Linked DNA regions of Kluyveromyces lactis. The protein of the gene in region 2 interacts with the protein of the main gene of each other region in a pairwise test. Links are inferred from orthologs where the notes say so. Each region holds a gene or a part of one and is shown on either strand. Other genes may lie near its edges.

Region 1 (3,564 bases), on a different chromosome or scaffold from region 2:
GCTGCGGTTTTGTACTTTCTTGGTGTACTTAGGTGGTTCATTTTGTTCTTCCTCTGAACCTTCTAAATCTTCTAAATTCAATACGTTAATCGTTTCCTTTGTATTACGGGGTTTTGTTCCGGCGGGTTGCTCAAACAACGTGGAGTAATCATCATCATTGGTATATTCCTCTACTAGTGGTACCTGTTTGTTTCTTTTCAACTTGAACTTTAACGGTTTGGCCAGCTGCTCCTCGGTCTCTTCGTCAGAGATTGATGTTGCAGCTTTGTTGATCGAGGTTCCTATCAGATCTACGTCTTCATCGCTCTCTAAATCAGGCAACTTGATCTTTACCATGATGAGACAGCAGTATTGGGTGGAACGGAAATAATCTCTATATACCTCTCTGTCTTGTTATGTATTGTTCTGTCTCTTTTTCTATTCCCTTTGTTATGCTTTTCACCTTGTATTTTAATGGTATATATGAATATTAACTGATAAAACATTATAAGTATATTTAATGGGAGAAGTAAAGAATAGTGTCTAGTGAACAGAATAAATATAGTAATAATTATCATGAAAGGACTGAAGAGGAGATGACACTTAGTAGTAATCAGTAATAAATAGTTATGGATATTGCGGATGTTGATTCTTCTGTCTGAATTTTTCTGTTTGATTTGAGTAGCTACTCCTTGATTATGATGTGGTCGATCTTATTGTTGAAAAGTGAAAAATCAGTTCGATCTCCGGCTTTATGGATGCTGGACGCTCTTGCAGATGGATGGTGACCCATGCTTCGCCTCTTGGGCAATATTATCAATTCGTTGTAGTCACTTTCGTTATCTTCTTCGTAGCCTTCGTCATCAATTATGTTATCATTGGCATCGTCATATATCTTGAATAAATTAGTTGTGTCGTTAACGGTATCAGGTACCATCCCCATTGGTTTGAAATTCGAAATGGTTGGTGAAATATCTGACATGCCGATGGAGAGTTGGTAGTGAGAGATTAACCTTGAGAAAATGTCGTTATCATCCATCCAAATGGTGACCCATCGTTTCAACAACTTCTTGTATTTGTACCAGTTGAACGTTTCCTTTGGTTCATTCAATAAGTTCAACAAACAGTTCTCTATCAATTGTTTATTGTTCAAAGGCATAAACTGAACAGTCTTCAAGATTCTCGAATTTATTGGTTTCACGTTTGAATTATCGGATAGGATTAACCAATAAAGTGATATGATTTCATAAGATAGTTCCACGGAATTCGGTTGTTGTAAATATCGGCATACGAGGTATACCAAAGTGATACCGATTTCAAGTAAGTCGTTGTTTTCCAATTGAATTTGTTTGAAATCATGGTCTTGTAAATGGTGATAAAGTTTCCATTGGTAAATTAATTTGTAACCGAAGGATTCTATCAACAGCTGATATTTATTGTTAGTCTCATTAGCTAATAATTGAAGGTGACAACCATCCAATTGCAATATGAAATCATAAATGAGTTGGAACATCTTCAAATGAGGTGGGAACTCTGAAATGGTTGGTGGATGGAATTCATCGATTAAGAAATTAGTCTTAGGTAATCCGTTGATGAAACACCACCAGATCTGGAACACTTGGAATTGATAAAACGTGAGAAGCCTAATAACCTTTGACGTTGAGTTTTCATGTCCAACAAGATTGTTGTAATTCAAGAACAAAGCTGAATTGATGATCATATACTGGTTGAAATTAATCAAATCGTTAGTCCAAATGACAGAGTATGGGTTCTCCTGGGACATGAAATACCGTATTCCGAAATTCATCAGTTGAATCGATGATAATTTGTCCTGCGACAAGGAACCCAAAAGTTTAACCGCCTGGAAAATCGTCTCGTTATTGAAACAATTCAACTCGAACTGTACTATAAGTATTAGTACAATGGACACCGCAGGGTCAGAGACAGTCGAAGTCCCGGTTAGTACCGAGATCATTCGTTGGTGCCATGACGTCCCCAAGAGATATGGGAAGATTTGGTTCGAGTTCAAGTACTTATCAATTAATCGTATTACATCCTCAGCAGATAAGGGGATATTAATCGGTACACCGCTCGGTGAAAGTGGGAAATGTCGGTTAAGGTACGATAGAACCGGGTCCTGTACGATAGACCTTGTATACTGGAAAGACTTCAACTGAGATTTATTATGGTTGACGATCGAATTCCAGGTGAAATTACCTAGATACACTTGGTCATGGATATAGTTTGGGAATTTATGGAAAGTATCATTGATAAAGGGTAGGAACGTGGACGCAGGGGCCTGGGCCGGTACTGGCGCTGCCGATGCCGCTGGAGGAACCGAAACAGAAGACTTTGTTCCCATTTCCCCCACAGAGTTAAGGAATTCCTGGCCAGCAGGAATAACACCCGTCTGTGCAGTAGCTGCCACGGCAGCTACTGCACCATCAATCACGGTCTCACCGTTCTCGTCCACCATCCCACAAAGCCGCTGCAACTTAATCACCTCGTTCTCCAACATCTCCGTGTAACCCCTAGGGAACCCGCGTCTTGTAAGCTTATCACTAGTCGAACAATGGTACCCTATCTTCTTACAATTGGAACAACTAGGCTTGATACCGTCACATTTAATCTTCTTAAGCCTACATCTATCACATGCCTGTGAAAACCGTTTCACTTTTGTTGATGCCGTAGGCATCAACAATTTCTTCTCATTGTGTTTGTCGACTTTCCCATATTTACGCTTCTTACCTGACTGACTGCTACTGTCATCACTGCTATTACCAGTAGACATCTTACCAGCAAGCACGCCCTTTACATCATCCTGCGAAACACTTGGCATAGTGATATATACATATACTTGGCGCTACTACAGGAAGCTTATAGCAAGCTTACGTTCCAAACAGAAAAAAAAACATCTGATACCTACCATAAACCTTCCGGTTCATGGTTATATGGCAGAACGTTTCCCCAGGTCCGTTTGTCTTATATATCTGATTCAGAATCATGAATAATAATAATAATATTTGGCTATAAAAACCCTCGAGAAATCTAATTCAAGAAACTAAGGCAAGAAGAAACTACCTTTTAACAAGCCAAGAGAATAAACCAATGAGATAACCGAGATAGCTGGGACGTTTGAAGAATTTCCCTTAATTGATGGATCCCAGAAACTGACATTTGTGACATTTCCACAAGTGACGTTGGACATATTATTCAGTATTCGGTATGCTATAGACTATATAAGAGGGCTAATTAATATGCGTTAGTAGTGTGTAATTCCAGTTTTGCAATTGTCCCTTTCAGCCGGATCTGGGGAAAGGAAGTTTTGGGGACAAAAAAAGCGGTTCTAGGCGCGGTTTTCCGTGTAGTCAGCAAAAAAATTTGTGCAGTTATATCGGTTTATCGTAGGGAGAGTAAGGACCTGAAAGGATTTGTCCGGATGAAAGGCTAACGGGGAGAAGTCACAAGTCCGAATGGTGTATGGGTGGCGATGTTTGCCTGCTTCTTGCAATTTCACATGTGACAGATATATGAGTCAGCTGGACGGTTGCTGACAAGGATGATGACTCGACGGGGGGGGCGCCG
Region 2 (3,540 bases):
TACATAGTTAGATCCTTGAGCATATGCGTCTTGCTCCTTCTTGTTGCATCCAACCTCTCAAAAGGTTGCAACTTAACTCAGCCCTAATACTCAACTCATACTCAGTTGTCCGTCGGACTTTTTCATGGTAACTGATAGTCTCATGAGCCACTCGTCATGCGCAGCTTCTGCCTATTCCAATTTCACTAAATATTGTCACGTGACCCTCTTTGATCCATCTAGGCCTTCCCTTCTGGATACCACAGGATCCATATGCCCAGTCACTGACGTCTTGGAACTCTGCCGTGTGCTGGCTAGCTCACATGACCCTTCGTCTGGCCTGTCTTCAGTCTATCTTACGAAAACTACAACAAAGTAGCATCGGTGGTTTAGTGGTAAAATCCAACGTTGCCATCGTTGGGCCCCGGGTTCGATTCCCGGCCGATGCATTCTTTTTTCATGTGTCAAAAACATGTATGTTGTTTTCCTCTTCTTCCCGGCGAGTGTTGTGAGCTAAGAGTAATTTCTCATATAATATAGTGATTGTCATTATTTAATGATATGTATATAAGGCTTAAACTTTAAGCAAATATTCAAACTTATATACACTCTTCGTTGGATATTATCCGTTAGTATTTTTTTAATTTCATGAACCTTAAAATCAACTTCCTTGGCTATTCACTGCAAGTTCCATAATCAGCCTGGTTGCTAAATGTAGAAAGGGGTATGCACTGAACGTACTCATTTCATCGTCGTTCCGACTTGAATACACTACACCGTTACTGGACTCCCAGCCATCAAATTTGAAATCCACTAAGTAGTTATTTGTCTCAATTTGGAACAATTGGATTACCATCTTCATTAAATCTGGAATCTGCTTGTTCTTCATTTCGTCATCAGGCATATCGATATTATATCTCCAACGGACTCTAATAGTCCATAGGTCCTCTTCTGATGGTTTCGCCCATTCGGCTCCCAAGTTTTTCAATGCAATGTATATTTCTCCCATAACGTCTAATGGATAGGATCTTGATCGTATACCGAAATGCCACCTTGTTTTTGATTTTTTCACGCTTAATGGTGAAATCTTAGCAGCAGCCTGGGACCCTTGTGCTACCATGTTGGCTCTATGGATCTGTGGTAACGAGCTAGGTAAAATTGCAATCGTGCTGTCTCCATCCTGAGAACCATTTCCATAATGATATTGATATGTACGTTGCTGTGTTCTCTTTGAATGGCGGTGTGAGTGTCGATTTTTTGAGCCCGGGGGGGCATGCAAGGATTGTTCGAAAGTGGGTGGAGATTGCGATAAGAAAGTATCCAAGTCATTAGATTGTTGCTTGTTCACCTTGATGTCGTTGATTAAATTTCTGTTCTCTTTAATTAACTGATAGGCATCCCTGATTTCATTTAAAGATGGATGATCTTCATCGGACTCTAAAGCCTCATATATCTCATCTACGTCATAACCCATAGTGTTTGATAGCGTTTGAACTAACGAATCATCGATCAGTTCGAGTGGCACGGATGGGCCGCCATCTTCTGTTTTGCTTTCAGAGTTTTCTTGATGGGTGCTTTCAGCAGGAACTAGGTAGTCGGGTAAATCAACTTTGAACCATTCATCCTGCATGATTTCATGCACGGTAATTCTATTAACTGGATTGACGATGAGCATCTTTTTGATTAAGCTCGCAGCACCTTGGGAAAGGAAGTTAGGTATGGTGTAAACACCATTGCTAATGTTCTTAAACAACACTGGGATACTTTCGTCATCGAATGGTAACCTACGACACAACATGACGTATAAGATAACCCCTGAAGACCAAACGTCAACCTCTGGACCTGCATATAGTTTACCGCTGATGACTTCTGGGGCCGCATAATTTGGAGAACCACATGAAGTCTTCAAAAAGTTACCATCTGTCATTATATTAGATAAACCAAAATCAGCAATCTTAACGTTCAAATGTTCGTCTAATAGTAAATTCTCTGGTTTCAAATCTCTATGCACAATTTTATGACGGTGACAATAATCTACTGCGCTAATAATCTGTTGGAAAAATCTTCTTGCTTCTTGTTCAGGCATCTTGTCTCTTTGGACAATATAATCAAATAATTCATTACCAGCATACTCAATCACCATGATAATTTCGTCCTTCGATTTGATCACGTCATACAATTTGATAATGTGTGGATGTCTCAACAAACGTAAGTACGAAATCTCTCTCTCGATTCTACCTTGCATATCACTCTTGGCTAGAACCTTCTTATTGATGATTTTTAATGCCACTTTTTGTCCCGTAGAGATATGGTACGCCAGTTTCACTTTACCAAATGATCCTTCACCCAAGGTCTTGATGATTTGATACTTACCGATATGTTGGCCTTGTGCGTGGTTAGTCAGCTGGCGTTGGTGATGGCCTTGACCTGAGCCACCATGCGGCTGTTGTTGATTTGGGTCGTGCGACATATCTTCTCTGATGAGTATGTACTCGTAAATGCTTCACTAAGAGTTTGCGTTCAACAGAGGGATATCTTGTTTACTCTGAGAATAGTTGCTTCTAATTGAGAAGTTGACTAACTTGTTAGAAAACTTGCAATTCTTATACTAGTGTGACGTTTCTGGAGTCTCACAAAACCCAATTCTATCCGCCCTACAATTACGCATTGATCCTTCTTTTATTGTTGATGTTCCGTATATGACAAGTTTTCAATTTTATCATCAAAATGTAAACGGCGTAGAAATCGTTGATGATGACTGATACCTTATGTAGGAGACCGTACTGGGACGAGTCCGGCGAATTGACCATTTTCAGTCACCAATCCTGTCACGTTTTACGAGAGGATTCAGACAATTCACGAATCCATTCTTCACTACGTCAATATGCTATGACACTACATTAAAGTACATCACCACTCGATAAGTGGCTATTATATACGAACCAAGATGTATATATTACATCTTTAATCTTCCCCAATTACTCTTTTATAATTAGGAATAACGTTAATATCGTATTTTCCTCATTATAAACTGGTGATTCCAAAATTCTGCTATCTATGTATTAGTTTCAATCACTACTGTCACTGGAGTAAATATCGATGACTGCGGCAGGATCGTAGAATGATTGTTGGCTAAAATTTGAATGCTCCATATCGTCCTCGTCATCCGTCCAAGAGTCCGTTGCAATATGTTCAGTCACAGGCATCTTTGAGCCCAAATTGAAACACATCAAGCGATTCCTTACTATCATTGTGCTTTTTAAATTGGAACTAGCAAGAGAAAATCTATCATCTAAAACACGCTTACTGATTGAGAAGCTCCTTTCGACGTCAGCAGTTGAGAGCTTAGTGTGGTAAAAGGCAAGAGCCAGACTGCACAATGCAGGAAATCTTGATTGGTTTTCAAGCCAATAGCTCAAAAAATCCTTCTCTTTCTCCAATGGTTCCCCCAAGTATATCTGCCACTCATCCTTAGGCGCAAAATGGAATTCTGAAATGTTTCTATCCAGATATGCAGATAGGTTTTTTAATAATTTTGGCTTCTTAACACGATTGATATTC

What was found. The genes of interacting proteins can lie anywhere in the genome.
Region 1: the proteins of SNF1 (region 2) and SIP4 interact in a two-hybrid assay, tested with the Saccharomyces cerevisiae proteins (3 studies listed by BioGRID). The link is inferred for Kluyveromyces lactis from reciprocal best matches to the Saccharomyces cerevisiae genes SNF1 and SIP4.

What each region holds. Positions count from the first base shown.
Region 1 is NC_006042.1:1,328,179-1,331,742, reverse strand, and holds SIP4 (Sip4p), read right to left. Parts: upstream 2,819-3,564; coding exon 665-2,818; downstream 1-664. Other genes in the region: NTR2 (Ntr2p), read right to left, coding at 1-336.
Region 2 is NC_006037.1:338,167-341,706, forward strand, and holds SNF1 (AMP-activated serine/threonine-protein kinase catalytic subunit SNF1), read right to left. Parts: upstream 2,450-3,540; coding exon 641-2,449; downstream 1-640. UniProt on the Saccharomyces cerevisiae protein: Serine/threonine protein kinase essential for release from glucose repression.